3 linked regions of the Tamandua tetradactyla genome follow. The protein of the gene in region 2 interacts with the protein of the main gene of each other region in a biochemical or structural test. Links are inferred from orthologs where the notes say so. Each region holds a gene or a part of one and is shown on either strand. Other genes may lie near its edges. The genes, in order: CSTB, CTSB and CSTA.

Region 1 (10,877 bases), on a different chromosome or scaffold from region 2:
GTCTGTAGTCAACAGTAACACTGCAATATGCTTCCACTGAATGTAACACAGGCATTATGCCAAAACTAAGTATTAACAGGTGGGGGGACTGGGAAAGGGGTGTAGATTCTTAGTGGAAGAAAAGGAAATGTCTTCAGACAGATTATTCTGGCGAAGGTATGTCTATGCACTTAGGCTGGATTGTATGATGTGTGAATAAAACTGTTTAAAATCAAACAGAGAGAAACAAGTTCTAGAGAGAATGTGGAGAGAGAGATGCACCTGTTCACTGTCAGTAGGGGAAGGAGAGGTGCAGCCCCTTGGAGGGCAGTGTGGGGGGTCCCCAGGAGCTAGGGGTGGGGTTGCCATGGGATTCTGAACCCCAAGGCTCAGTGTATACCTAGAGGAACCGAGTGTGAGGACAGGAATGGACGTTTGCACACTGGGGTATCTGGCAGTGTTCGTGACCCACAGTGAATGGAGGTGGCCTAAGGGTACAATGACGAGGAATGGAAGGGGACAATGGTGTGTCCATACAGTGGACGACTGAGGGGCCACATGAAGGAATGAAGCTGTGCAGCAGGCAAGTCGGTGAATGAGCCTTAAGAGCTGTATGTTGGATGAAATGTCAGGAACAAAAAAGCAAATATCATGCCTCAATCATATGGATTAACTACAATACAAAAATTCAGTGAACTAAAATCGAGAGCATGGGTTATCAGGGCAGGGCTTATTGTGAAAAGTCTTAGACTATAAGCTCTTGCAGCAATCACATCTATTCAGGAGGTGGAACTGCTAATTCAAAAATCTCAGATTCTGAGATATTTGTATATAACACGGTCTTTCCCAGAAACTTTGGGTATTTGTGTGACACCCGAGACTCAGAGTTAGAGCTCTGAAGCTATGAAAGTTAGCAGTGCCCCATACAGGAGCTGTCTAAAAAGCTGAAAAAGTGATCAAACATCGAGTAGAGACATGAATGAAGCTGAGCTGGAGAGGACTAAGGTATACCAGAAGACTGGTTACAGGATGACATCATCCATGTTTTAAAACTTGAACTTCTGTGTGAGACTAAAGGGAGAAATGTTTATTTGATGCAAAATTCATATTTAGGCTCATAAAGTTTCTTAATTTAACTTGTATGGTCAGTTGAATTGAATACCATAATTACACAGAATCTTGAATAGGGCATGAGATCTTGTTTGCCCATGTTAGTGTGATGCCCTAATAAATACCAGAGTGATTTTGACGGTGAATAAAGAAGTATTTACAAAGTCCCTTGGGGGGATGGGGAGAAAGGGGGAAATATTCAGCTTCCCCGTTTGGAGAATTTCTGATGTTCTTGCAAGCAAAGGGGACCACAGAATTGATGTGCCCGAGCCCTAGATATTGAAGTTCACACCTATGAAACTGAACCCTGCAAAGGTTAGGCTAAGCCTACTTAAAATTAGGCCTAAGACCTAAGAGTCACCCCCAAGAGAACCTCTTTTGTTGCTCAAATGTGGCCTCTCTCTCTCTCTCTCTCAGCCAACATGACAAGCAAACTCACTGCCCTCCCCCTCTGTGTGGGACACGACTCCCAGAGGTCTGGACCTTCCTGGCAATGTGGGACAGAAATCCTAGAATGAGCTGGGACTCAGCACCAAGGGACTGAGAAAACCTTCTCTACAGAAAGGGGGAAGAGAGAAATGAGACAAATTAAAGTGTCAATGGCTGAGAGATTCCAAACAGAGTCGAGAGGTTATCCTGGAGGTTATTCTTACACATTATCACCTTTTTAGTTAAGGTATAATGGAGAGGCTGGAGGGAACTGTCTGAAAATGTAGAGCTGTGTTTCTTGAAGATGATTGTATAATGACATAGCTTTCACAGTGTGACTGTATGATTGTGAAACCTTGTGTCTGATGCTCCTTTTATCTACCTTATGAACAGATGAGTAAAACATCTGGATTAAAAATAAATAAATAATAGGGGTAACAAATGTTAAAATAAATTTAGTAGGTTGAAATGCTAGTGATCAATGAAAGGGAGGGGTAAGGGGTATGGTATGTGTCAATTTTTTTCTGTTTTCTTTTTATTTCTTTTTCTGAATTGATGCAAATATTCTAAGAAATGATGATGGTAATGAATATACAGCTACGTGACAAAAAATAATTTCCATATTGTACGTTGATTGGTTTTTTTAATAAATTTTTTTTAATTAGGCTTAAGAATATTGTGCGTATACAAAAAGGAACGAAGCTGTGAGGCATGCAGCGATGTGAATGAACCTGTGGGACACAGGATGAGGCAAAAAAAGCCAGAAACGAAAGAGCAATTATGGTGAGGTCTCCTTTAGAAAATGCTTATAAGAAAACAGGGGCCTAGATCATAAGCTCTTAGAGCAGACACATTTATTTCTGGATTTTGAGAGGCTGTTTTATATGTCTATAACCAGGTATTTAGAGATAAGAATGAAGCTAATCATGTCAAGATTAGGGTAGTTCAGAATGCAGGGGTAAGGAAGACAGTGTCTGTATTTTAGAACCACACCTACTCTTTGATACCAAAGGAAGAAAGGTTTATTTTGTCTGGAACCTAAATTTTCTGTAGTGCACAATATAACTCAATCTGTCTCGATAGGTCATTTGAACAATGAAACATAGGGAGCCAGAATAAAATTGAGGGCCTTTAATCCTGTAAAAATAAAAAACAATAGGTCTAAGAGAACCTCTTTTGTTGCTCAGATGTGGCCTCTCTCTCCAAGCCAAAGGAGCAAGTGAACTCACTGCCATACTCCCATACTCTGGGAGACAAGACTCCCCAAGGTGTATTAGTTAGGGTTCTCTAGAGAAACAGAACCAACAGGAAATATTCGTAAATATAAAGTTTATAAAAGGGTCTCACGTAACCGTGGGAATGTAGAGTCCAAAATCTGCAGGGAGGCCTGTGAAGCCAACGATTTTGATGGAGGGTCTGGCCGAAGCCAGCCAAAGCAGGTAGAGCGCCTGTCTCTTCTGAATTCTCCCTAAAAGGCTTCTGGTGATAAGATTAAGCATCACTTATTGCAGAAGACACTTCCCTTGGCTGATTACAAATGGAATCAGCTGTGGACGTAGCGCATGTGATCATGATTTAATTCTATGAAATGTCCTCATCGCAACAGACAGGCCATCACTTGCCCAACCAGAGAAACAGGTATCACCACTTGGCCAAGTTGACACATGAACCTAACCATGACAAGAGGTGTAAATACCCCAGGCAACATGAGACAAAAATCCCAATGAGCCAGGACTCAGCACTGAGGGATTGAGAAAGCCTTCTTGACCAAAAAAGGGAAGAGAGAAATGAGTCAAAATCAAGTGTCAGCAGCTGAGAGATTTCAAACAGAGTCAAGAGGTTATCCTGGAGGTTATTGTTATGCATTTATATAGATATCCCTTGTTAGTATATGGTGTATTGGAGTGGCTGGAGGGAAGTACCTGAAACTGCAGAGCTGTGTTTCAGTAGCCTTGATTCTTGAAGATGATTGTATAATGATACAGCTTTTAAAATGTGACTGTGTGATTGTGAAAACCTTGTGTCTGATATTCCTTTTATCTAGAGTATGGACAGATGATTAAAAACTATGGATAAAAATAAACAAATAATAAGGGAAACAAAGGTTAAAAAAATTGAATAGGTTGAAATACTACTGGTGAGAGAGGGGGGTAAGAGCTGTGGCATGTATGAGTTTTTTCTTTTTTTTCTTTTTTTGCTGGAGAGATGCAAATGTTCAAAACAATGATCGTGGTGATGAATACACAACTACTGGACAATACTGTGAGTCACTGATTGTATGCCATGTATGGAATGTTTGTATGTCAAGAATGGTTGTATGTTTGTTTTATAAGGTTTGACCAAAAAAAAAACATAAAAAAAAAAGAAAACATGTATCCACTTTTCGCAGATCAAGCTCCTGTAGTGCTTTCCTTTGGGGCTCATGTTTATCACGGAACAGCTTCGAGTTGAAGCAGAAGGTCTCCCCTGCTGAGTTGAAGCAGAAGGTCTCCCCTGCCCTTTCTGCTCGTGCACCTTATGCTGGGCGTGCACGTGTGGCCCAGGAATTCCCCTCTCCCCTAGGAAACAGACTCCGCACAGCCCGGCAGCACACTCCCTGTCCACAGCTGCCCCTAGCCTGCTGACTGGAGCAGGGCAGGCTCTGAGCGGCGAGTCCCTCAGACACCCAGACAGACTGGGCCAGACTCGCATGCTCCCAGCGCGTGCATAATGGCTACTCTGACCCCACAGGACCCGGGGCTGGCCTCCGCACCGGGGACAGGGCATGGGCCACCCCCACCCTCAGCCAGGGAGGGGTGGGGAAGGGCTGGCCGGGCACCCGGGGATCCTACCGCTCTTAAGTGGCTGGTTTTCTGGTTTGGGGCTCGCCCTGTGACTGCAGTGCTTTCACTGTTTTCTGGAGTTTTGGCAAAGACGTTTCTGCCAGTTCTCGCTGGTTGTTCAGAGCCTCCACAGCAAGACAGAGCCCTGACCCGCCTCGCTCTGCCATCTGGAGTGGGGTTGAGCCTATGGCAGTAGCATTTTAACAGGGTTTATGTGTTTCCTCTCCCAACTTACCCCACTTGTCTTCCTCTTTCCGCTTTCCAGAGGTGTGCTCGGCCTGCTTTCACTCACTGGCTCCCTGGCACTCTCGGGGACAGTGCCCGCTGCATGGTGCCACGGTCCGAAACCCATCGGAACCCCCGTAACAACCGGCCCCAAACAGTTGGGACGCAGTCAGTGACCACCTGCCTCCCTAATTTTTGTCCTCGTTCCCAACTCAGGATCAACGGCAGAAAACCAGATCTGCTCCCCAAACCAACCACAGAAGATGCCCACTTCCTGCCAGCCGCCCCCAGCCTCCCCACCTCACAGTGCAGGACCAGCGCCCACCTGAAGCCTCCCTTTTGCTCACTCTCCCACCTACCTTCAAGTCTTATCTTTGCAACTTCTGAGTAAAGAGCCTTTGCTGTTCTCACCAGCTGGCTTCGTTTCTCCCCACAGGTGTCAGCTGTGGACACCTGCAGCCCCACCTCTGGGGGTGTGAGAGTGGTCCCCACGCCTGGTGCCTTTGGACACATCAACATATTTTCCACAAGACAGTGGGGCCCAGCCTCACAGAGCCACTGAGTGGAAAAAGCAAGAGAAGTGCTTCCCTTTCCTTCCTTGGTTAATTTTTTGATGCTTTGTTTCTGTGTGGAGACCTGCTCCATTTCTATAGGATCAAACCTGTCATTCTTTCGTTCAACCACTCACTCTTCAACAACAAGGGAGCATCTTCCTGACCTCCCCAGGGTTCTGACTCCACCCGATGTCCCGTCTCTCCAGAACCCTTCCCACCTGGCAGGTATGGGAAAGGTGCTCCTCGCCCCCACACAGACCTGTTTATCAGTCACAACCCCTTCAGCCCTGCCTAACCCTTCAGCCCTGAGTAGGTGCAGCCCGGGGATCCGGGAGCGGGAGATCATTCTGGAAGGCCAGTCAGCTCTTGCCCCAAACAAGGATGCGCCCTTCCCTGCCCCCAGGTGCTTGAGTATAATTTAAATCTTAACCCAAATCCCTCTCCAATCCGCACAGAGCTGACCCCAGCCCGGCCTGGGGTGTTCAGCTGCCGCACTCGGCTGCCCACTTCTGTGCTTCACTCTCCGCGCCCCTCGGGGGGCCAGGCTTGTGACCCCCCACTCCCACCCGCCAGTAGGCTGGGTCCGGGGCGGGCCTCTCGCCCAGGCTCCTGCAGGTCCCGGCTGGACCACGGGCTCTGACCCGTCTCCAAGCTCACCCGCAGGACCCGCCCCCGCGGCCCCTCCCGCGGCCCCCCGGCGCCCCCACCCCCTCGCGCGGCCCGGGGCGCCCCCAGCAGAGGTCCGGCCGCGCCCACCCCCCTCCCTCCCGCCGCCCCGAGTCTCTGCGGGGGCGCGGGGCGGGGAAGTGACACCACAGCCCGGAGAGGGGGGCGCCCGCCACGGGACCCGCCCGCCCCCTCCGGCCCCGCCCCGCGCGCCTTGGGCCCGCCTGCGTCACGTGGCTGTCACGGGGCGTCACGTGGGCGGCGCACTACTTATCGCCCCGCGCGCGGCCGGGAGCCGAGTCCCCGCCCGCCGCCGCGATGATGTGCGGGGCGTCCTCGGCCTCGCAGCCGGCCACGGCCGAGACGCAGCAGATCGCCGACCAGGTGGGCCCGCGCGCCCCCGGCCCGGAAGGCTGCACCCGCGGTGTGCCGCCACCCCCACTCCCACCCGCGTTCCCGGGCGCGGCCGCTGAGCCACGGAGAGGCGCGGGAGGGCCGGCGGGGGGGCTCCCATTCCCCTCCTGGGGGGTCGGGAGAAGGCGCGAGCGCCGGGCCAGCTGCGCAGGGTGGGACCGGCCCGATCCTGCGACTTCAGCCGCGGGCAGGGCGCAGCCGGCACGGGGAGAGGTGCCCGGTAGCCCCGGAGGCCCGCCTGGTCGTCCTGTCGTCACGTGTCCACAAAATCGGTTCTTTCCACGCAAGGATCCGTCCGCCAAGATGTCCGGGGCGCACCGGGGCGCCTGACGCGGGGAGGAGGGCGGAGGCGCAGCAGCCTGCCTCTCGCCCTCCCCGCGGGCTGCTGCTGAAGCCGGGGCCTGTGGTCAGCCCAGGGGCCTTGCGCCCGGCTCGGGCTACAGCAGGTGGCCACGAGTCGGTGCCCTGAGGCCCTTGGGAAGGAGGACCTTTTAGAAGGCCCTTCCACTGGCGCGCGTGAACTGCCCGGGAGAGAGTGTGCCGAGCTCCTCTCCCACGGCCACTTCCTCAGGCCTGGCCCCTTCCTTCCCAGCTGCCTGGTAGCCAGACCCGCGAGTCCTCCAGTGTCAGGGTCAGTTTCCAGAAGGCTGGGAACTTTGAGCGAATGAGTTCTTGGCGGCAGCCAGGAGAGCAGGGCCACCATCCCAAAGGGGCTCTGTCCCTGCTCAGCACCCCTTGGGGGGTGTGGGAGAGGGCAGCCGTGTGATTGGGAGAAATCACTGGGCCTGCCTGATGGAAGCCGGCCGTATCTGGGGGTCTAAGGAGAAGGGGAGCACCTACCATGTCGCTGCGTTTTGCATCCTCACTAGTCTTGGCCTAAGTGTGGTCTGCTTTCCAGGTGAGGAGGCTGGAGGGCAGGCGCAGGACCAGGTCCTTGCGTTTTGTCACCCGGGTGGCAGGGCTGGTGGACGGCTTCCGGGACACCCCGCTGGCCCCTCCACGCCTCCTGCTGGGCGCTCTCCCCCAGCCCGCCCGTTCTGCTCCATTTGGGTTTTTTTCCTCCATTTCTTGCAAATAGCTTAGGCTTTTCTGCCTCTTGAAAGCCCCCAAAGACAGGCGATTCCTCCTGTCCTTGACCTCTCCTCAGCAGCCCTGGGCCGCTCCCAGGATCACTCCTTTGTCCTCCTGAGGGTGTGGACCATCCAGCAGGTGTATGTCAGCCGGGTGGGCACCGGCGTGAGGAGCTAACAGAGGGCCGACAGGACGCAGCCGCTTGCCGCCCTGCGCCCTCCTGCCAGACTGCAGCCTCTCTGTCCTCCCCCATCAGGTGTCCCTGCTCTGAAGGCTCAGAGGCTTCCAGGACGCCCATGGCCCTTGTTCGGGTCGTCACAGTGACTCAGTTGCATGTGATTCCTGATGACTCCCTCATTTCCCAACCAGCACCCTTCCTGCAGTTCTGTGTCTTCCTTTTTAACTAAAATTCGGACCCGCCATGGCTGGTCTGGACACCCCACGCATTCTGAGGATGGACTGCTGCTTCCAGGCAGGGCCTTAGCTACTGTCCTAAAAGAGACAGACTTGCTCCCCCTTCCCCGTGGAGGAGGCCATCTCCTAAACTGTGGAGACCTAGAAAACAGGGTTGTCTCAAACGCATGTTGGCTGTGCACTTCGGATTTGGGTCCTGCTTGGCCCAAAGGCCCTGTGTCCTGAAGAAACCCTCCCTCAGGGCAGGGCTTTCCACCTGTGGTCACCACAGCGTGACTTGTCACAGCAAAAACTGGGGACAGCCAAATGGCCACGGGAGGGGGATCCTCCACGGAATCAGGGCACACGATGCAGAGGAAGGCTCGCTTTAAAAAAGAACATGCAGACTTTCGTGTGAATGTGTTAAGTGAAGAAATAAAGAGCATAAACCTGTGTTTACTGTTGTAATGATAAAAATGCCCAATGCCTAGAAGAGGAGAGGCAGACAGTCTTTTGAAATATTAAAATTCTGGTGAGATGAATAAGGAACTTCTATTACTTTTTTGGTTTTTTGGTATTTCATCATTAGAGCTACCAATTTCCTTGGCTCACTGGGTTTCCTCAGTCATGGAGTGAATCTGTTGGAGGAAGTACGTGAAGATTTGGTGTTTGAATTCAGTTTAGAAACTTAACATGAGAAACAAATTCCGTGTGTGAGAGGCCCGTTGGCAGGAAAGAAGTCACTGAGCGTCTTCGCATTTTCTCCCCTTCTCCTAGGTGAAGGCCCAGCTGGAGGAGAAGGAAAATAAGAAGTTTCCTGTTTTCAGTGCTGTCGAGTTCAAGCACCAGGTGGTGGCCGGAATGAACTTCTTCATCAAGGTGGGGCTCGGGGCAAAGTGGGCCCTGGCCTCGCCGGCGCCAGAGCAGGGGTGCTTCGCGGGGTGCCCCTAGGCTGCGTGTCGCTGTGTGGTCGCACAGATGGCCCCCAGACTCGTGGGCGGGGGCGGGGATGGCGTCCAGCACTGACGTGGGAGTGGACCAGGGCACACCTGCGGGGCCCAGCCCCCTCGCCTTCTGCCCGCACACACCCGGGGCGGGGCACGGGCCTGGGCTGCGGCTGCCCCACCTTTGCCTCACCTGCCTCCTGCTCTCCAGGTGCACGTCGGCGACGATCACTTCGTCCACTTGCGGGTCTTCCAGAGCCTCCCCCATGAAAACAAGCCTCTGAGCTTGTCCAGCTACCAGATCAACAAATCCAAGGATGATGAACTGACCTATTTTTGATTCCGGACCTCAAAGGGAGCTGTTTGTCCCTACGACTAGCCTGTTGGGATGGTCCTCTGTCCTCTATGAGTGTGCACTGGGGGTGGTAAAGCTAGCACGTGTCTGCGCTGGCCTTGGGGGTGGGGGAGGGGAGGGGCTAAGCCGCCTCCTGTGCCTCTGTTCCTAAATTGTTTGTTGTGTCCAGGTGGCTTTCTTTCCCATTCCATGATCTTAACTAACTTCCTTTCACAGAGGGCTAAGTATTATCTTTAAATAAATATTTTCAAACTTTAAAAAAGTGGTTTCCTTTGGCTTAGTAAAACCATGAGATCCGAAAATGCCTGGGACGCATAGAAAATCACGAGAAGTGCCGCGGAGGGAGCAAAGCATGAGAGAGAAGCGGGTCTGGCGGCTGGGTGGTGAGAAGGCGTCTTGGAGGGGGTGTATTTCATTTGGGTGGCCCGCCACGGGGTGGGTGGGGGGCACGAGACTATCCTGGCAAAGCAGCAGCAGAGGGCAAGGGCCCAGGGACAGTGGTACCCTCGAGGAGGGCTCTGTGTGGGGAGGCCAGGGGCCTGAGTGGGGTTTGGGAAGGGGTGGGCAGGCCCGGGGGACAGGAGCTGACACCTGCGACCCCACCCCCGGGACGACGGCCAGGTCACAGGTAGGCAGAGGGGCTGGTGTGCCCAGGGCTCTGCTCACTGGCCCTGGACGCACAGCCTGCCCTCCAGCCCCTGCCTGTGCACCGATGACACCCTCTGGGAAATGAATGTGAGGCAAGCCAGGGCCCCACCTGCGGGGGGCTGCCCGTGAACTGGCTTCATTTTCTAGCCCATGGGGAATTAAGAAATGAAGTTTCTCCTCCTGGTCAGTGCAGACATGCTCCCCCAAACAATCCTGCCTCATGGACATTGAGAAGGCACCAAAAGGCATTGCCAGAGTGGCCCGTGCACTCCTTCTGGGGGCAGGGTTGCTCCCTGGCACATGCTGCCCTGCCCGGGAGGCAGGCACGGCGGGGGTGGGGGCGTCCCTGCCCCCAGCACAGGCAGGTGGCTGCACTGAGCGTGGGCAGCGTCCACGGCCAGCTCCAGCTTCAGGCACGGAAGGCAGTGGAAAGGGGCCCAAGGTACAGTCTGGAACGTGTGCGCGTCAACGACTGCCTGGGTGAAGCAGGCTCGTGTGGACTAGGGGCCTCGCTTCAAAGCTGAAAAGTGGTCTGGAGGCCACTTGGTGCTGCAGTCAGGGGCAGCTCTCTGAGCACCGCGGCAGCCGGGCGTGGCCAGGGAGACGGAGGGGCTGGCAGCTGCGCCCATCCTTGGCATCAGGGCAGTCAACCAGAGACACTTTTGGGGGCAGCAGCAGAGCACCGGGGGGAGTGGGAAGGCGGTAGGGATGGCGCCAGCTGGAGCCCTCCCTTGGGCACCCCTCATCCCCACCCTCTCTGCTTGCTCTGTGCCCGGGGCTTCCCCCAGGCCCTCCTGGTGCGGGTCCCTCTGCTCCCGCCAGGCGCCTCCCCTGGCGCAACCTCCTGGCCCTTCTAACTTGCCTTCCCCACTGGTCACCTTCTGGCCCCAGCAAGGCTGTGGACCCCTCAGGAACTGCAGCACTGCCTGTCCCCTCCGAGCCACCTGCCACCCCCTGGTTGTAAACAGTCCCTTCATTAAACTCCTGTGTGGTGCCATCTGTCTCGTGCCGGGTCCCAGGGGAACAGAACGCACTGCCTTGAGCTCAGTGAGTCCAGGGTCCTCCCCTGTGCTCTGGAGGTGGGGCCCGGCCCCCAGCCTGGGCTGGTCCTTTGTCTCTGCTGCGCTGGGGCCCGACTGGGCCAGAGGAGGTGAGAGCCGCGTTAGGGAGACAGGGCAAGACGTAACCGGATGCAGATTGTGCAATGGAGAAGGTGGTAGGCGGTGACCCAGTGTTTGCTGCCCCCTGGGCTATCTCCGAGGCCCCA
Region 2 (10,277 bases):
CTCCCAGTTGAGATTCTCCAGCTCTAAGGGTGCTAAAAGAAGCAGTATTAATTCTAAAAAGACAGCTCCATACAACTGTTTAAGAAGCAAAAGGGAGAATCAAATTTCAATTGAAGAGCTGAGTGGAGCTAATCTAATTAAAGATTAGGGTGGATCAAAATACAAGGTAAAAAATATTATCTGTATTTTAAAACTTTAATTTCAATGACAGACCAAAAAGGGAAATTTATTTTATTAAAATTGAAAAAAAAAATTTATAGCATACTATCTAATTTGACTTTTCTGGTTGGTTCATTTAAACAACCTAATTCAGCTTTATGTAACATAGAACCTAGAATAAGGAATGAGATCCTGGTATTCTGTGTCAGTTAATATAATACCCTGATACATTCAAAGTGTTTTAGACATAAAATTAAAATCTGAGGGATGGTAGAAGGAAAGCATGAAACTATTAAACCTTCCCATTTGTGGGGAATTCCTGCTATTCTCTCAAGCAATAAGGAGCTCCCAATTTACTTAAACTGTAATCAAGGAATGTTGCAAGGGCTAAATCTAACTCTGTTTTTAGAAAACATAAATTATCCCTTTTAAATTTGTAATAGGGAGACCTGTGCTTGTTTAAAATGATGTATGCCCCCTAGAAAAGTCATATTTTAATCAAAATCCCATTTCATAAAGGTAGAATAATCCCTATTCAATAATCATCTCCCTGGATGATGTGATTTAGTTGAGTGGTTTTTAAACTGGATTAGGTGATGACATGTCTCCACCCATTTGGGTGGGTCTTGATCGGTTTATTGGAGTCCTATAAAAGAGGAAACGTTTTGGAGAATGAGAGATTCAGAGAGAGCAGCACCACGAAGCAGAGAGTCCACCAGCCAGTGACCTCTGGAGATGAAGAAGGAAAACGCCTCCCGGGGAGCTTCATGAAACTGGAAGCCAGGAGAGAAAGCTAGCAGATGAGGCCATGTTCGCCATGTGCCCTTCCAGCTGAGACAGAAGCCCTGACTGTGTTCGCCATGCACCTTCTCACTTGAGAGAGAAACCCTGAACTTCATCAGCCTTCTTGAACCAAGGTATCTTACCCTGGATGGATACCAATCGTATCTTACCCTGGATGAATACCTTTGATTGGACATTTCTATAGACTTGTTTTAATTGGGTCATTTTCTCAGCCTTAGAATTATAAACTAGCAACCCATTAAATTCCCCTTTTTAAAGGCCGTTCTGTTTCTGGTATATTGCATCCTGGCAGCTAGCAAACTAGAACAAGACCCATGAAAATAAACTCTAGAATATATGAGCCCTGCCTCACAAAAAGTAAATATGCCAATAAGCCAAGCCCTCAATCTCTTTTTTAAATTTATTTTTTATTATCAAACCAAAACAACATACAAACATGAACATACTTAACATACAAACATTCCGTGCATGGTGTACAATCAGTGGTTCACAATATCATCACATAGTAGTATATTCATCACCATGATCATTTTTTAGAATATTTGCATCACTCCAGAAAAAGAAATAAAAAGAAAAAACTCATACATACCATACCTCTTACCCCTCCCTTTCACTGAGCACTAGTATTTCCATCTACTCAATAGATTTTAACTTTTGTTTCCCCTATTTATTTTTCTATACACCTTACCACTCCTTTTCATTGTTCACTAGTATTTCAATCTACTCAATTTTTTTAACATTTGTTCCCCCTATTATTTATTTATTTTTAATCCATATTTTTTATTCATCTCTCAATATCGTAGATAAAAGGAGCATCAGACACAATGTTTTCACACTCACATTGACACACGGTGAAAGCTATGCCATTATACAATCATCTTCAAGAAGCATGGCTACTGGAATACAGCTCTATAGTTTCAGGCACTTCCCTCTAGACTCTCTAATGCACCTTAAACTAAAAAGAGGATATCTATAAAATGTGTAAGAATAACCTCCAGGATAACCTCTCAACTCTATTTGAAATCTCTCAGCCACAGACACTTTATTTTGATTCATTTCTCTCTTCCCCCTTTCAGTCAAGAAGGTTTTCTCAATTCCTTGATGCTGAGTCCCAGCTCATTCTAGGATTTCCATCCCACACTGCCAGGGAGGTTTACACCCATGGGAGTCATGTCCCACGCAGAGAGGGGGAAGGCGGTGAGTCTGCTTGCTGTGTTGGCAGAAAGAGAGATAGGTCACATTTGAGCAACAAAAGAAATTTTCTCAGGGTGACTCTTAGGCTTAATTTTAAATAGGCTATCCTTTGCGGGGATAAGTTTCATATGAACAAACCCCAAGATTGAGGGCTCAGCCTATTGATTTGGTTGTCCTCACTCAAACCCTCAACCTTGAAGCTCATACTTATAAAACTTATTTCTGTGATGATGCAATGCCTAACAGTCACCCCCGAAACCTCTTTGTTGATCAAATGTGGCCTTTTTCTATGTCAAACTCTGCAAATAAACTCACTACCTTGCCCCCTACATGGGCCATAACTCAGGGGTAACATCCCAGGCACATAGAGTAGCAGTGCTTTCTTGAGCAAAAAAGGGGAAAAGAAATAAAACAAAATAAAGTTTCAATGGTTAAGAAATTTCGCATTGAGTTAGGAGGTCATTCTGGAGGTTACTCTCATGTGGGTCTCAGCCAAACATTTGCCAACACTGTTCCTGAATCCTAAGTAACACCCTGGGTTCTAGCTGAAAATCCATGAAAAGTTCTTTCCCCCAGTGTGATAGAGTTATAAATCAGCGCATCATAATCCTTCTGTTCCTTTTATTTAAACTTATAATTTTTCAATGTACTTGTTAAGTTTGCTGTTCAGACAGAGACTTGAAGTCTCTGGATCTTCCCTATGCCAGTTAAGCGCTGAAACCCAGAGGTACCAGTCTCTCCAGGAATAACAATCAGTTTCGTTCCTCTACCCCATAAGGTTGACATCCCCTTTTCACCATGATGAGGTCAGAGTGGCTGTCATCCAGATGTCCCTCAAGATTGAGGGAGGAAAAAAAGAAAGGGGAGGAATTGTAACTGAGGAATTAAGATTCGACAAATAATTGTGATGACTGAATCATTATATAGATGCCTTTTTCTTACTTTCTAGTATATACCCCAGTGAATTGCAGATTGTAAAAACCTTGCTACTGGCTCCACTTGTATTCCCTTATCCTGTTTTACAACTTTAGAGTCTTATGATCAGAAAGACAACCCCCTGATTTTTTTTTTTTTTTTTTTTTTTTTTTGCGTGGGCAGGCACTGGGGATAGAACACAGGTCTCAGGCATGGCAGACAAGAATGCTGCCACTGAGCCATTTCCCTGCCAACCCCCTACTATTAATGAAGGAACTTGAGTCAGTCCAGAACTAAGAGTTGACTATGATGTTTTGTCATTAAAATGGTTACTCTAGCTTAGTTCTAGCTTAGTTCCATTCCTTTACATGTGTAAATGAAGTTGTAATCTACAGATTTGTCTATTCTGAACATTTCACATAAATGGAATCTTATAGTATGTGGCCTTTTGAATGTAACTTTTTCACTTAGCATAATGTTTCCAAGATTCATCCATGTTGTAGATGTTTCAGTCCTTTGTTTCTTTTCATGGCCAAATAATATCCCATTGTATGGATGTATCATATTTTGCCTATCCATGCATCAGAAGATGGACATTTGGGTTCTTTCTCCTTCTGGCTATTATGAATAGTGCTGCTATGAACATTTGTGTATACATGCTATTGTGGGAACATATGTTTTCATATCTCTTGGATACATACCTAGGCCCCTTTTCCAGGTATTCAGCAGGCAAATAGCTACTTCTCATACAAGCCAAGGCCTTCCTGTAGTTTTGAGGACTGTGCCTCAAGTTCCTGAGCCCAATCCTGGCAAGTTAAGTCAAAATTCTAGTCAACCATCAGGACACACTTCATTCATTTAAGCACTCACTCTATAAATATTGATTCACTATCTATTATGTACCAGGCACTGTGCCATGTGCTAGGAATCCAGCAAAGAACAATGCAGGCAAAAATTCTTGCCCTCATGGAGCTTAAGATCTAAGGAGGGCAGTAAGGAAAACATTATATGATGTGCTACATTCCTTTTTGCAGGAATAATTAAATTCTACCTAAAAGTACTTATATATCTTGTTCGTTAGTTGGTTGCTTTATTTTCAAAAGTTTTTTTTTTTTCGAGAGGTTATCCTGGAGGTTATACTTATGCATTTTATAGATATCACCTTTTTAGTTTATGGTGTATTAGAGAGGCTAGAGGGAAGTACCTGAAACTGTAGAGCTGTGTTCCAGTAGCCATGTTTCTTGAAGATGATTGCATAATGATATAGCTTTTCAGTGTGACTGTGAGACTGTGAAAACCTTGTTTCTGATGCTCCTTTTTTCTATGGTATGGACAGATGAGTAAAACATATGGATAAAAAATAAATAAATAATAGGGGGAACAAATGTTAAAATAAATTTAGTAGATTGAAATGCTAGTGATCAATGAAAGGGAATGGTAAAGGGTATAGAAAAAAATAGGGGAAACAAAGGCTAAAATATATTGGGTAGATGGAAATACTAGCAGTCAATGAGAGAAGGGGCAAATGTGTATGATATGCATGAGTTTTTTTCTTTTTATTTCTTTTTCGAATTGATGCAAATGTTCTAAGAAATGATCATGGTGATGAATATGATATTGTAAGTTATTGATTATATACCAAGAATGGAATGATACATGGTAAGAATATTTGTGTTTGTATGTTGTTATGTTTAAAAAAAATTTTTTTTTAATCTCTATAATGGCACATGCAAAATTCCATAAAATTGAGATAATGCAGGTATAATAGTTAGCACACCTGCTGTCATGCAATAAAAACTATCTCTATAGAGAGATTTGTTTGTCATGGTTATTTCTGTGTCCTCCCCATTTGTGCCTTCTTTTATGGGCTCTATATGCAGTTCTAAAATGACTGTCTCATATATGGAAGATGACCTGGTAAAACGCTGATTTGCAGTCTGGAGACCATGCCTCTAAGAATACGGCTGAGATAAGGAGGCAGCTGGGACATTCTGTTTTCAAATCTGCTCCACGGTTGCCATAAATTCCTCAGGTCATCTTACTCAGTATGGAACTCAGTAACATGCTTGGGCTGTAGATTTTTTTTTCCCCTTCCATTCCTAAGTGGATTCTGACACGCTTCTCCGTAAATGGAAGAAGAGCGTCTCATGGGCTTTGGCTGGCACACAAACGGTGCAACAGCTGACGGTGGGCACAGCCAAATTCACAACTTTCTTAGTGCCACAAGACCCTGGATAAAATACCAAACTTTTCTGACCTTCTTGAATAAAATTCGGATCCCATCTACCTTACAAGATTGTCATGAGGATTAGAGACAGAGTTTTGAGCCACCCCCCATCAGCCTCCCCAGGTCACTCCTCCAAAGGAGCCCTAAGTAAAAAATGTGCTTGCTGGGTTCCCACAGCTTCATGAGAGATCTCTGGTACCCTTCTTCCAACCAGATTTCAGCCCCCAAATTTCTTTTGCTTCTCGGTGGAATTCCTGACGCAGCTCCTAGGGTTGACACTCCACGGTAATAACTACTTATTATTACTGTTTGCTGAAATGTCTTATATACATGTTCTCCGAATGCTAAGGTAAAAGGCTAACATTGAAGGGCTCTTCAGGGAATTTCCCCAGGCCAGCTGTCCTCACATCCCCGACCCTGGCAGGAGTTTTGAATGAATGGCTGCTGAATGAAAGAGATTAGCTACAGCTAGTCCTCCCCTGCCACGCCGAGATCCCGGGGATGGAGGGAGGGGGGCTGCTTTGAAAAAGGCTGTCTTTGGGGAGAGGGGTCCCTGGGGGAATTTCTGTAGGGTGGGTGGAGATCCTTTGGACCCCCGTCCAAGTCTAGAGAGTCCTTGCTCGCGTCTCGCATAGCAGGTTTTCGCCTGTCCTACGGCGGGAGTGGGGTGGGGGTCGGGGGTGAGACGGGGAAGGGAAGTGGGAGGTCCGGAGCGCATCTGCCACCTCCCGAGGCCGGCGGGCGTCTGGGGTGCCCAGCGTTTTCCGGGTTGGCCTGCCCAGGCCCCCCGCGCGCGCACGCCCTCAGAGGCGCGGAGTGTGGCGGGGGCCGGCAGGGGCAGGGACCCGGGGGTGCGCGGGTGGGCGCGGGAGGCTGACCCCGGGATGGCCCCGGGCGGCTGCAGCTCGCCAAGGTCACGTGGGACGAGTCAGCCGAGCGGGGCGGGGCCGGGCCGGGATAAATAGGCGCCGGGGCGGGCTCCGGGCAGCGGCGTTGGCTGCGGCGGCGGCGGCTCCTGAGTCCCTGTGTTTCCCCTCTGGCTGCTGCAGCCCCGGGCTCCCGCAGCTGAATTCGGTGAGTGCGGGCCGGCGGCACGTGGCGCGCGCACCTCTGCGGGCCCGGGCGCGGGTCTGGCCCTCCGCGCGACCGGGGCGGAAGTGACCTTCGGAGGGGGAGGGGGAGCCGCGCGGCGGGGCCGGCACCGGGATCCCCGGCTCCAGGCCCAGGCGCAGTCCGATTGCGTCCCTGGGAGATGGCGAGGCTGGGGGCTACCGCCGGCGGGAAGCAGGGGACCTTCGAGGCTGTCGCTGCGGAGATGAACCGGGGTGGCAGCCTCCGCACTCCTGGAAGTCGCTGTGGCGAGAAAAGCAAAACAAGGCACGCAGGCAGGCAGCCGGTCTGTCCGGCGACCCCGTGATCGGTCTAGATGCCGGGCGGGGCCCTGGAGGGGGCCCCAGGCAGAGCTGGGGAGTTTGTAGGGAAACTCCGAGGGAGGGTCCTGCGGGAAAGGATATGGCTCGGATCCCGGTGACCTTTGGCTAGAATCTGACTCCCCATCCAGCCCTGGCCGTAGCCCGAGTCCCTTGCCAGCTCAGTGACCTTGGGCACTCAGTTTCCTAAACTGAGTGAGTTTCCCCAGGGGGGAAACTTACCCCCTGGGCCTCAGTTTCCTAAGGCGAATTGCTGAGATAATAGAATCTACCTGCATCTATTTTAGGCTGTTTTTTCCCTCCTCGTGTCAGAGTTTGCCTGTGCAACTTTCTGCGCACAATCCCACACAATTCCAGGGACCCCAGAGGAAGGGGCCTATTAAAAACAGGAACCAGGAATTGGATGGAGTAGGATGGAACCGAAATTAAGAATTAAATCCGTAAACAGAGGAGGAGAAACTAAGGAGAATGGAAAGAGAGAAAGCTGTATGGGGCCTGGGGACCTCAGTATCCCTCCTCTCTGAGGACACAGGGAGAGATGCCACTCCCTACTCCTTAACGTGTATGGAGGACTGACAGTCATCAGACCCCGACTCGCTGGCACAGCACCTCCTCCCTCAGTTAATGACCCTAGAGGCCTAGGAGCGGGACTGCCTAGAGAATAGCGTGGGCGGAGTTTGTAGGCAGACAGATGTGGATTGGGCTTGGTTTCTTGTTGGGCCTAGCCCAGCTTCTGCTCAGGCATTGAGGAAGGCCAGCAGGCCGGCCCAGAGAGGTGGGCTGTAGCCCAGGCCCCATACCTCTAGGCGACTCAGTAAAAACACCGTATCCAGTGAGAGAGGAAATTGTGGGGTGAAAAGGGACACCTGGCACCTATTGGTACCTTGAAGGAACTGTTTTAGTCTGCTACACAGCCAAAAAAGCGTTATGTCAGAAATGGGTTGGCTTTTATAATGGATTGGGTTAAACAGTGTCTAAATGAAGACATCATTAAGGCGATGTTTTCTTCTTGAAGACGTTGGGGATCCTTGACTGCTCCATCACATGGCAAGGCACATGGTGGTATCTGCTGGTCTCCCCTCTCTTCTGGGTCTCATTGCTTTCCGTTTCTTGCTTCCCTGGCTTTCTCTGTGCGTGTCTGATCTCATTTTCTTGTAAAGGACTCCAGTAAGAGGATTAAGATCCATCCTGACTGAGGATAACATCGTAAGATCCAATTCATCATCAGGCAGGCCACGGTGTTTCAGCAGGCAGAGTTCTTGCCTGCAATGCCAGAGACCCAAGTTTGATTCCCGGTGCCTGCCCATGTTAAAAAAAAAAAAAAAAAGACCCCATTTATACTGGGTCCACACCCACAGGAATGGATTAGCTTTAAAAACAGGATTTCCTGGGGGCCATAAAAGCTTCAAACCATCTCAGTGTTCCTCAGATGTCTCCCACCTGAAGGATTGCAGCTGAGAAGTGTTCTATTTATGCATCAAAATGAATCTGCAGATTCAGAAAGAATGTGAAGAGGAGTGCCTGCCTTGGTAAAGGCTGCTTAACTTGTCTTCAGTAATCTCGTTTCCTTGTTGACCCTGTTGACAATGATCTGGGGTCCTTGGGCCTTAGGGAGAAAGGCTTTCCCAAAGGTGGAGTCGGGCGTGCCTTGGATAAAAGTGGCTTCTACTTGAATCTTGTTGTGTATCCCAGAGCTACAGATATTACCAGGTGGAAAGGCGCAGATACCATATCAGGGTGTTTGCAGACCTAGGCAGAGGCAATGGGCCAGGCCCAGCCCTGGCTCCAGTAACCCCCGTGGATGTTCTGTTAGGACTGGTCCGGCGGTGAGGCAGGGAAGCCCTTTGGCTCCAGGAGTGATGCTGATTCTGCAGCTTTGGCTGATACCCTTCCTCTTGTAGACAGGTTCTCTCTTTTGCTCGCAGCTGCTGGCCCTGAGAGTTGGAATAAGAAGTTGTAGCGTATTAGGGGTATAAGATATTTTGTATAACTATTGACATTTGGATTGAGAAGTGGAAGGGAGATCTCATTTCAGGGGAGCCTTGGGTCCTTAAACCCATGGCAATAGGGATCCTGCATTGTAGAAGGCTGGGAGTTCTTTTCTGGTCAAATAATGAAGGGGGTCCCTTTGTCTTTTGTATTAGAGATAGAATCTTCAGGACAATACTTGAGCTCTCTATAAAAAGGGCTAACAAGGGAGGTGCAGAGCTCTTATAGCACAGCCCTTCTGGGCTTAGTGTTGTAGTGGTGGGCTGAGAGTAAAACCTGTACAGATGGAATATGGATCTGCACAATCTCACCTAATTTTGAAAAAATCGGAAGAGAGTTTTCAACTAAAATATAGGGATCCCCAGCCACCAAACTGGTTGCCTCAGGCTGCCATGACCTCATTTCCCACGTGTTTGTACATCATAGTACTGGAAGGGAAAGGAGAGGAGGAGGAGTTAGTTGGATGGCAGTATTAGGAAATAAAATGTTTTCTCCAGCTTTGTCTACTAAATGGGTCTAGAAACATTGTTGTTCCTGTAGTGGTGAGCAGATGTAGAACCCGGTCTTGGATTCTGAAAACCATTTCCCACTAAAGGAATTCAAGCTCCTTGATGAAAAGTCTGATTCTGGGTCTGGGGCAGGGAAATTACAAGGTGAATCTGGAACATCTTGTGCCGCAAAGCAAGAAAATTTTGAAGACTAAGAGGGTCGTGTCAGAAGGATAGAAGAGCTCACTTGAAGGACCTTCCACTGGTCAAACGTGTTAGACGGGACGATCAAGAATAATAAGAGATCATAACACTGAATGTTTTGCTTTTGCTGAAATTGAGAAAAGGGGATAGATGGGGGAGAAGCCTTTTTGTAGAATGTCAGTTAAAGTGTAGAAAGAATGATAAAATTATGAATGAACCATTTTGTGACTCCAATGTGATGAAACATTATCAAAGGTGCTTAGTCATCCTTGCATCATCAATAGGTGCTAAAAGCATCGGGTGAAAGGTTGTTGCCAAGAAGGATATTCACACAGTGTCAAATTGAAGTATCACCCCATAGATGAGGTACAAATTCCCAAAAAAGGAAACTTTAGCAAATTACAGTGAAGACATGTAGCAGTCAACCTTAAACGAGAGGTCAAACCGGACATCACCAAGAAATGGGAAATCTTGACATTAGGTGTCTTCTGGTGAGATGCAGTAGATTAACGTAAACTTCCCTCTGCAATAGTCTTGTCAAAAATGTTTGACCTGTATCTATTCATGAGGATATAGTTAGAAGAATCCAGGATGTAGGATATTCTGCTGGAAAGCCCTTGAAAGCATTCAGTGTCATGAAGAATGGGGTGGGGTGGGGTGGCGGGGGAGGTGAACAAGGCTGGTATGGAATCGGAAGACCACAAAGAGCCAGATGCATACGTGAGCATTGACTGTATCCTGAATTGGGGAGGGGGGCAGGGCGGGATTAGAAGTCAGTGCTTCTTAACTTTGCATAGTAATGGGAAGGGAAATGTATTTTAACATAAAATACAGATTCTGATTCCAATGGTCTCCCAGGTGCTATGG
Region 3 (10,674 bases), on a different chromosome or scaffold from region 2:
GAGCATGAGTCTGGGGGAGTTGTTAGTTTTCTGGGACCAGAGAATTCGAGCCATGCTGCAGCCAACACCCAGGTGTTTCTCCTAATCTATAATCTTTCTGCAGAAACATTAGGGCTATATGTAATTTAGGAGATAATCGTGGTAACAAGAAGAGGCCGTATTTTGGGAACTTTCCAGAGTGATGAAGGAAAGTTTGGGTCGTAACGTGAAAGGACAGCTGGGCTGGTGAGAGGTGATCTGTGGATATGCGTTGTCTCAGTTTGTAGTGAGAGAAGGGATAGTTTGGGGCAAGGACTCAGAAGGTGGGAAATGATGGCACTTGGCATGTGGGAGGAAGGGCTGGCTGAAGAAAGGAGGATAGATGTCTAAAACTGCAGGGAAGAAGGAGATCAAGCAGAAGATAAGGTAAACTAAGAACTCTTAGTTTAAAGAACTCTTAGTTTAAAAGTCAGAAGACTTTTAAGAAAAGCAGGAACTGAGACATCCTTCTGAAGGGGCCACTGAAGAGGGGATTAAAAAACTGAGGAGAGAGATGGTACTGTGGGGTTTCTAGAAAAGCACCAATGGGACATGACCGAAAGGATTTTCTGGTCACTCTGGTGTCTTGTTGCAGTTGTTTGGCATGAATTCCTAGAATTGTGATGGGCAAGTTTTCTGTTGTCCTGCGTCTCCCTTGAGCAAAGCCCTCTGACTCAGTGGAGGAGGAAGCAGTGATGGTGGGAGTGACCTCTAATTGAGGACTGGATCACCAGCAGCTCACTGGGTCGTGAAAATCAGGGGTGGAGAAGTATAAAACCACACACCATGGGGCCAGGCTGGATGTTGATCAAGTGGGCTTTGGCATGTTCTAATGAAGATAAGAGGGTGAGTGCCTGGAAGATTTCTGGTGTGGCTGAATGGCAGGTTCTTTGGGTGTGGAGAGGTGATTGATAGGGAGGCTGTGTTGAGAGGGCACCAGGGAGTGCCCATGAGTTTAGGCAGATGAGGTTTTATGTGACGTCCTGGCAGACAAAAAATCCTGGTTTGTGGGTATTGCCGGGAATGCTACTGGGCAGTCTGGTTTATGACTTAGGTATGCGTGGGTGTGGGTGTGTGTGTGTGTGGATGTAGATATATGTGTGTGTAATATGAGCCTTTATTTCTGAAAGTAATTATTAAAATAGTATTTCCTTCTGACACACAAACATACTCAGAATTCTCATCCAATGGTTATTTAAATAAAATTTAGGATAATAATTACCAATAATGATCCAGAGAATTTTGCTTTTAGGTGCTTTCATTTGGCTCTTATTTACATGTATTATGGGTTTTTCATGGATAGGGCCTTGTATCTCTCTTTATTTCTTTGTATGTCATCCATCTAAACTATTTTGTAAATTTCCCAGAAAGCAGGGAGCATCTTTATGTCTCCTCTTTTACCTTGCCCTAGAGTAATTCACAATTCACATAGTACTGGGTACATAATCAGTGCTTTTTGAATGAAAAGACCATGGTGGTTTTCCTTCATGACGACTTGTCTCCCAAATAGGAAAAAGTACAGGAGAAGGGTATAGCAATGGCCCTTAACTAATACACTGAATGTTGGAAAGTTTTTTTCCCAAGTGTACTCTGGACACAAGTACCTTTATCTTCCTTTAATACATGATACCGCAACTACCCATTTGATCTCTATTATCTTCAGAAGGGGGAAACATTCAAAAATGTTTGTCTTCCCAAACCCAAGCCTTTATTTGACTTTCTGCTCTTTCTGACCTCATCCATCATCCCCCCTTCATTTTGATGACTTCGAACATGAAAGCATCACTTTTCTTTGATACTTTCTCTATGCTGTGGGATGACTGTTTTCTTCCTTCTGACCCTCCCTCCCTCGCTGGGTTCTTTCAGCTGACATTCTATTAAGAAGCACGCTGATAGGGACAGAGAAATTAAATGAAGAACTTTTATGTCAGCACTGTGATTTTGGAAAACCCCGTCTCCCATAGGTAGCCCTCTAAGGGTGTCATGTATCAGGTCTTCGTAAAGGCTCAGGAGGTCAGTGGACGGCAGCCGCATCTTGGCCTGCTAGGAATGCACCTCCCAGACCCCACCCCAGACTGCACTGAAGCAGAATCTGCATTTTCACAGGACCCAGGTGATTCATGTGCACGCTCAAGTTTGTGAACATTGACTGATACGAGGAGTCAAATGAAGGTATTAATGGCAATATTAACCTCTCCAAGAGAATAAAAGCTCCATATATATATATATACACACACACATATATATATATATACACACACACATATATATATATATATTTAAAGGGAAATATTTAGCCCCAAAGAATGAGTAGTGCAATTCCAAGCATCTAGCCCCATGGAGCTTTCCAGTGTTCCTTAGCTCAGAGGATCCCAGCTCTTCCACTCACACAGCATGTTGATTTTGTTGCCAAACAGTGTTATGGAGTGAAGTTTCAGCAAAAAACAAGAAATAATGATAAAAGCAAATAAGGTAAAAAAATTATATACTTAAAACAGTGATTGGTATGTGTTTTCCTGTCACATAGTAGCCAATACAATAATTTCTATTATGTAGGTGGTAGCTAATCAAATAATCTTTCAAAAAAGTATCAACTCACTAAAAACATTGAGTTCTTGTATTCCAGTAGTCTTGAGTCTTGAAGATGATTGTATAAGTATATAGCTTTTACAATGTGACCATGAGATTGTGAAAACTTCGTGGTGATGCTCCCTTTATCCAAGCTATGGACAGATTAGTAAAAAAATAAGGACAAAAATATATACATAAATACTAGGGGAGCGGGGAATAAGGGGTAAAAAAAATTGGGTAGATTGCAATACTAGTGGTCAATGAGCAGGAGAGGTAAGGAGTATGGGATGTTGGGTTTTTTCTTTTATCTCTCTATTCTTTTTCTGGAGTGATAAAGATAGGCTTAAAATGATCATGATGATACCACTCTCTCCCTGTCTACGTGGGACATGACTCCCAGGGGTGTGGACCTTCCTGGCAACGTGGGACAGAAATCCTAGAATGAGTTGAGACTCAGCATCAAGGGATTGAGAAAAACCCTAGAATGAGCTGAGACTCAGCATCAAGGGATTGAGAAAACCTTCTCGGCCAAAAGGAGGAAGAGTGAAATGAGACTAAGTGTCAACAGCTGAGAGATTCCATATAGAGTTGAGAGGTTGTCCTGGAGGTTATTCTTATGCATCAAGTAGATATCATCTTGTTATTCAAGATGTAATGGAGAGGCTGGAGGGAACTGCCTGAAAATGTAGAGCTGTGTTCCAGTAGCCATGTTTCTCAAGGATGACTGAATAATGATATAGCTGTCACAATGTGACTGTGTGATTGTGAAAACCTTGTCTCTGATGCTCCTTTTATCTACCTTGTCAAGAAACAAGTAGAACATATGGAATAAAAATAAATAATAGAGGGAACAAATGTTAAAATAAATTTAGCTTGAAATGCTAGTGGTAAATGAAAGTGAGGGGTAAGGGGTATGGTATGTATAATCTTTTTTTTTTCTATTATTGTTTTATTTCTTTTTGAGAATTGATGCAAATGTTCTAAGAAATGATGAATATGCAACTATGTGATGACATTGAGAATTACTGAATTTATATGTAGAACAGAATTACATATTAATGTTTTTGTTTGTCTGTTCTTTATTTTTTTTAATTAATAAATAAATTTAAAAAAAAAAAAGAGAGAGGTCAATGTAGCACAGCCCAAGCAGCTCAGTATACCTCATCTCAGCACTTGCAGCTCAGCCCAAGCCCTTGGAGATGCAGAAAGAAATCACCCCAGGAAAAGTTGTTGGAACCCAGAGGCCTGGAGAGAAGGTCAGCAGAGATCACCCTGTGCCTTCCCGCGTAAGAAAGAACCTCAGTTGAAAGTTAGTTGCCCTTCCTCTGAAGAACTATACATTTTTAACTAAATAAATCCCCTTTTATTAAAGGCCAAAAAAAAAATGATCATGGTGATAAATACACAGCTATGTAATGATATCGTGTGCCACTGATTGCATACTTTAAGATGGACTGTATGGTGAGTGAAGTTATCTCAATAATATATATATATATATATATATATATATATATATATATATATATATATATATGTATATATAAAACAAACAAACAAACAAAAACTTTGAGTCTAATTTTTACCAAAATTAACTTTGGAATCACCAAATCACCACAGACTATGCCACTTCTTTTCTCTACTTAGATTAAAACACTGTCTATCAAAAGTTTTAAGTTGGTCACCTTTACAATATTGTTCTTCATTCAAACCATTTTTAAAAGTTTCCATCCAGTGCACTTGAATTCTAGTTCATCAAATATTTAACAACCTTAGATTTTAATTACATGTTAGCTCTACTTAGGAGATTACAAAAGTTTCATCGAAAACTGAATTAGTAATCCTAGAACCACACACTGTGAGAGCTGGAAGAATTTTAGAGATGATTTAATACAAATTTCTCTTTTATAAATAGGGAAGCTGAGGTTCACAGAAGGGATGTGACTTGCTGAGTCCCCCTGACGGTGTTGAGATTTCACATAAAAAGTGAGGTTTCACATAAAAAACATTTTTAGCTGTAAGGGAGCCTGCACACCACCACCCGTTTGCCAGGGTTCTGGTTTTCATGCTCACTTACACTCTTACCTCAAGTCCATCCCAGGAAACCAAGATTTTGGATCAAACCTTCTCATGTGACACATCAACTTACCTCATTAGCAATCTCCTGGATTTCTGGAGTGGCAGGTCTAGCTTCGGTTAAGCCTCCAGGCATCATTTTGGCTAATTGTCTCTTTGCACAGCAGGATGCTGGAACCAAATGATCAGGTAAGCAAGGAGACTCTGGTTTTTAAAGAGGGTGTTTGTTCATAAGCTCCGCCTATGGGATGATTTCGTCTCCACAGAGAACAGAAAGGCACAGTAAAAACCAGTATGTCTTGAAGCAATTCTTCCTGATTCCCCAACAAAACGTGGTAATATGAATTTAAGGAACTGGGGTTGGTGATGAACAAATTAGTGTGTACACACAGTCCTGCTATAAGGAGACTCGAACATCCTGCCTTTTCTTTGACAATGGTTCCGTCTTGTTGCATCCTGAAGCTACAACCAGAATTTCCAAATGTGTTAAAGCCTCCAACACAACACTGTATTTTTTTTTTAAGGAATACTTAATAGCATCAAGGCTGATGGTTAGAATTTACCTCACTTTATACAGACAGTGAAAGGGTTTATCTGGAAACCTTGGCTGGATATTTGTACTTTATTTTTATCTACGTTTCTAGAAACATTCAAAATACACACAAATGCAAAGAATAAAATAACAAACACTTATACTCCCACCATCTAGAATGAAAATTTTTGACATTTTGTCCTATTTGCTTCCCATCTTGTTTGGTAGTTTTTTTTCTGAAGAAAAAACATATTACTGCTATAGTTGACTTATGGGGGAAGCATCTCTAACAAGGAGGTACAGAAAAGCAAAGCACAACAATTAATATCTTGATGTTAATTATCTAATTAATCAAATATGCAATTAATTAATATAGATTTTTTTTAAATGCCTATAAGATTCCTCTGCTGTCTGTCATTCCTTGAGTTGGAATTATTCAGGATGTCTTTACAGTACTCAACATCCTCATAAATTGCGTAAGTCTTGTCTGTGAGCTCATCTGCCACAGGAATTATCTTTACGGCAGTCTCTTCTGTGAGGCTGGGTTGCGATCCTGTAGTACACAGGCCCCAAACCAGTTCTGTTTTGGCTTAGAGTTCTTGAACCATGAAGACACTGGAAATTGGGCTTGTCTCCAGCTTTTGCTGTAGGTCTGGAGTTATGGGCTTCCCGAGGTAGCTGCGCTTGCACCCATGGCCAGGGATGGATGCTTGTGGTCCAGGGCACGCCGGAAGATACATCATGACCTCTGGGTCAGGAAAGGGCAATGAATTCCCCCTCTGGCCTTAGGCAGAAACCCCAGGTCCCTATATTTAGCCTTTACTTTACCTCCCAATCCCACAAGGATACTGAAAGTCCAGTCCCTATGATGTGAAGCTGGACCTACCTCACTTTAGCTTTTAAAGTGACTACCACGGATTTCCTCCCAGTTTCTCATTTTCAAAGTCGATTATTTAAATTGCTAATTTAAAATATATTTTTTTCAACATTCTTATGTTTTTTGAGTAGGGAGGGAGGGAGGGTTTCATAATGTTACCGGACAAAGGCTGTGGATTCTTCTGCCTGGCGAGCTCAATAATCAATTACCGAAACACCGGGGTTTGAAAGAGAGAGAGCATTTATTATTACACAGGTAGCAGGAGAGCAGACAGCCTAAGGGCCCCAAATCTGTCTCCCAGAACAAAGGGGATTCGAGGGTTTTAAGGATTCTAACAAGGGCGATGAGGTCACTTCAGATAGTAAATTCAAAGCAGAAAAAAATAATAGTGTTAACAGGAAGTTCAAAGCAGAAAAGAAAACATTGTTAACATAAATTGACAGGAGCTATCTTATCCTTCAATGGCAGGGCCTAGCAGAGCTGAAAAGTACACACTGTTAGCATAAGTTAACATAAGAAGGCAGAGCTATCTATTTTTCAATAGCAGAGCCCATTGGATATAATTTACAAACGTAAGGTGCTGAGGCTGGTTAATGGTCATTTTCCTTAGCACTGAGGCCTCTAAGAGACTAACCAGATAGTGGGGTTCCAGTTCTCATAGCCACTCAGGCAACAGGTAAAAGATAAGAGCTTTTATCATCCCTCTGGATGTCCCAAACAGCTTAATTATAGTTCAGGGCTTCTGGGTGCTTTCCTTTGTCTACTCCAAAATCCCAAAAGCAAAAGGAACATTTATGTAATGATTCAGTAATTAAAATATCCCTCAAATTCTAATTTCTCAGTTACAAAAATGTGCACAAAAAACCACCTTAATCCAGAAGTATGTTTAATACTTACAGAGTTCCAGAGGAAGTAAATGTTCTCCAGTCGGGGACTCTGTCTGCCCCAACTTTGCTGACCAGGTGTAAGCACCTGGCACCTAGGAAGAATTCACCCATTGTTTGTTGTTGATGCTAATGAGCTTTTATTGCTTGTGAGGAGCTTTAAAAAGCTATCATTAGGTTTTAATGTTCTTTTTCTAAAAAAAAAAAAAAAAAATTCAGCCTTTTCTTTGTATTTTATGTACTGTTTTTATTTTGGCGATTTTAACTTTAAAATAGGTCATAGGGAACAGAAGATGTTAAAACCCCTGTAATTAAAATTATCGACCATTTATTGAATACCTATTGTAATTCAGATGTTGTGCAAAGCGCTTTATATACTTCTTCTCATTTAATCTTTAGTTAATCCTGTTCCTTCCCTCTGAGCTTTTGGAATTGTTCCATGAGGGTGAGATGGTTGTAGCTGCTGCAAGTTATCTTGTGACTATGCAGGGATATTTGTTTATATCCTGAGCATGGCAGCAGAAATATGGAAAGAGGGTCTTGAGGATGTTGAGAGAAATAAGACAAAATAGAGTTGCTATGGCTAAGAGTTTTTAAATGGAGGTGCGAGGTCATTCTGGAGGTTACTCTTAGGAAATCTCAGCCAGATTTCACAAACTGCCACAGTGTGCAAAGCCTCAAGCAACGGCATTCCTCAGAACCCCAAGGATATCCAGGCACCATAGAACCACAAGATAAAGAACTCAGTGAACTTTCTAACCTGAAGGACAATTGGATATCCACCAATCACAAACAATGTATGTAATCTTTCTTTTTAAAAACCCTTGCCTGGAAATACCAAGATGAGACACTATTTGGGTTGCTACCCAAATTTGTGTTTCCTGAATTGCAATTCTAAGGTCCCAAATATATATGCAGTTTGTTGCCTTGCAGCTTAGTTTATTGATTGGTTGACAAGGATATTATTGGGTCTTTGTACTGCGGCTGTCTAGTCCAGGCTTCTTGTTAAGTAAGATAATAAATGTCCTTATTGTTTAAGCCACAAGTTCTATTACTTGCCCCCCAAAGTATTCTAATTGATACACTTAAAGTGTAAGAATTCGAGAGTTTTGCCACGCAAAGGAGGACTCCAAGAGACGTTCTCTCATGCAACACGCAAAGGGGTTTATTTACCACACATGCGTGGGGCTCACTGAACACGCAGGAACAGAGAGCCCCGAGCCTGGGTTTGGGGAAGCTTTTAAGGGGTAGGAGGAGGGTGGTGAGGGTCGAGCATGGGTCACAGGTGCTGCTTCATGCAAGAAGCAGATAACAAACATTTTGCAAGAAGCAGATAACAAACATTTTGCAAGAAGCAGATAACAAGCATTTTGCAAGAAGCAGATAACAAACATTTTGCAAGAAGCAGATAACAAACATTTTTCGCGCATGAGTCATGGGAGCTGCTTCATGCAAGAAGCAACTGTCTCGTTGTGCAAAACTCCCTTACTCAACCTTCTCAGTTGCATTCTTAGATAAACTTCCTCTGGCAGTTACAACCTTGCATAACCAAGGCAGCAGATAACCTTGCATAACCAAGGCAGCAGATAACCTTGCATAACCAAGGCAGCAGATAACCGCCCCTGGGAAGTTCCGTGTTGTTTTTCTTAGCCTGATGGGGCCCATAACTCTTTTCTTTACAATTCTTAACACCAAATGCATAGCAGTGAATATAAAATGACACAAATGCTTTTGCTGGATATTTCTATCGTTCAGAAGCTAAAATATATGTAAATAGCTAAATTAAGCAAGAAAAATTAGCTACTGTTAAGCTTTATAAAAATCCTTCTTTACAAAAGGTATCATTAAAGGGGTATAAAGAAAGTCTACAGACTGAGGGAGTGAAGAAAATGAAAGATACAGCACCGCCCTTCGGAAGTTTATACTCTAAAGGAGAAGAAAGAAGCGACCCAAGTAAAGATCGCATCAAAGCTGAAAACTGCAAACTATGTATAAGTTAGAAAGACCAGGTATATAACTACTGGGTATATATGAAGGTATTGGAACTGGATAGGCTTGATTAGAAAAAACTTCTTGAAGGAGACTGTTTCTCATTTCAAAGGATTTGAAGGAAAAGTTGTTTTTAATTGGCTATATGATTCCCTGCCCTTGAGATACTTTTAGTCTATTAGAAAATAAGTATATTACAAGGCTGCACTAATAAGTATATTACAAGGCTGAAAATGGTTAAATGTCCAAAGATTTGTATAGAAGTGCAATAGTGTAGCAGGCAGGCCTCCCCCCTTTCTAGTTCAGCTGTGCTCTCTGTGGAAAATCCTCAACCCCCCTCTCCTGACCTTCAGGAATGGATAAAACTGCAGGCAAGCATAAGACACATTCCTGGGATAGAAACCCCCTTCCCTAGCCTTCAGGAACTGGTGAAGCTGCAAGTAGGCAAGATAAGACATTCTGGGGTAGGGACCCCTCCCTTAATGGTTCAGCTTTGGGCCATTCCCAACTTAAATCAGCCAATTGTTTACCTTGTCTTTAACATGTCAAAGAGTCTATAAAAGCTAAGGTTGCCTTTTGTTCGGGGCTCAGACTTTCAGAGGTTACTGCCTGAGCCCTATGGCCATAGTAAATAAAACCTGCTTCCTGAAACTACGGATCCTTAGTCTCAGTCTGTTCTAACTTCGTGGAACCTTCCTGGAGGCCTGCGGCCTCGTTCCTGGTTTTCGTGCTACAATAGGAGTTTTAAGAAAGGAGAGTTTGCTTCCAACTGGGAAGGTCAAAGAAATCTTCCTGGGAGAGAGAGAATCTGAGTTGGGCTTTGAGAATGTGTAGAATTTGGACCTGCAGAGTTGCAGAAAAAAAAAAAAAAAAAAGCATTTAATGGGCAGAGTGAGTCACAGTATATAGAGACAGGAAATTGGGTTAAGCATAGGTGATGGTTTGTTGGAGTGAAGGTTGGGTGAAGGGCAGAGGGAAGCTTAATTCCAATCGCAGAGGAGGTGGAGTAGGGGGTGGGGGCTGGGAAGCAGTGGTAGGTAGGGGTCGAATCATGGTCAGAGAGGGAAAAATGCATTAAGCCCATTATCATATACCACTACAGGCTCACTGGACTAGTTATCAAAAAGATTTTTAATACCAGGTGTTGGCAGTGATGTGGAACAACTGGAACTCTCATCCAGTTGGTGGAAATGCAAATGGTACAGCCACTTTGGAAAACAGTATGGCAGTATGTTATAATAGTAAAGCTACCTTTACCTCATTTCCACTTCTGTTGGAGTTCAGAAAAAGAATTCTAAGAGCAAAAGGAACTTTTGATGCAGAGCTCTCTCAGCCCCCTCCTCAGCGTCCTTGGCAGGTCCAAGGACCCAGATATGCACCAACTGCCATACTAGCTAGTACTATATCCTCTAGAAGGTGCTGCTGCTAACACCCTCGCCTGCCAGCATCTCACCCTGCCTGATACATGCACCTACACATCAAAGGAGAATACATCAGCAATCCGTCATACCCTAAGTCAATAAGCCCCCATCCAATCAAGGGTCAGCACACTACCTAGTGGGCACTCTCCCCTCCTGGTGTCACTTTCCCTTTAAAACACAGCTCCCAGAACAAAGACCTGGAGCTGTTTTCTTTTTCTTCCTGCTCCTACCTACGTTCTTCCTTTCACTCTCCCACCTGCTTCCTCCATACTTTATTCCTTCAATAAATCTGTTAATCTTTGACTTGCT

What was found.
Region 1: the proteins of CTSB (region 2) and CSTB form a complex in vitro, tested with the Homo sapiens proteins (2 studies listed by BioGRID). The link is inferred for Tamandua tetradactyla from reciprocal best matches to the Homo sapiens genes CTSB and CSTB.
Region 3: the proteins of CTSB (region 2) and CSTA form a complex in vitro, tested with the Homo sapiens proteins (3 studies listed by BioGRID and IntAct, with this or other methods). The link is inferred for Tamandua tetradactyla from reciprocal best matches to the Homo sapiens genes CTSB and CSTA.

The regions. Positions count from the first base shown.
Region 1 is NC_135336.1:101,411,961-101,422,837, reverse strand, and holds CSTB (cystatin-B), read left to right. Parts: upstream 1-6,058; 5' UTR 6,059-6,103; coding exon 6,104-6,169; intron 6,170-8,440; coding exon 8,441-8,542; intron 8,543-8,818; coding exon 8,819-8,947; 3' UTR 8,948-9,224; downstream 9,225-10,877. UniProt on the Homo sapiens protein: This is an intracellular thiol proteinase inhibitor. Tightly binding reversible inhibitor of cathepsins L, H and B.
Region 2 is NC_135329.1:33,496,185-33,506,461, reverse strand, and holds the start of CTSB (cathepsin B), read left to right. Parts: upstream 1-6,244; 5' UTR 6,245-6,373; intron 6,374-10,277. UniProt on the Homo sapiens protein: Thiol protease which is believed to participate in intracellular degradation and turnover of proteins. Cleaves matrix extracellular phosphoglycoprotein MEPE. Involved in the solubilization of cross-linked TG/thyroglobulin in the thyroid follicle lumen.
Region 3 is NC_135336.1:23,277,197-23,287,870, forward strand, and holds the start of CSTA (cystatin-A), read right to left. Parts: upstream 4,865-10,674; 5' UTR 4,802-4,864; coding exon 4,736-4,801; intron 1-4,735. UniProt on the Homo sapiens protein: This is an intracellular thiol proteinase inhibitor. Has an important role in desmosome-mediated cell-cell adhesion in the lower levels of the epidermis.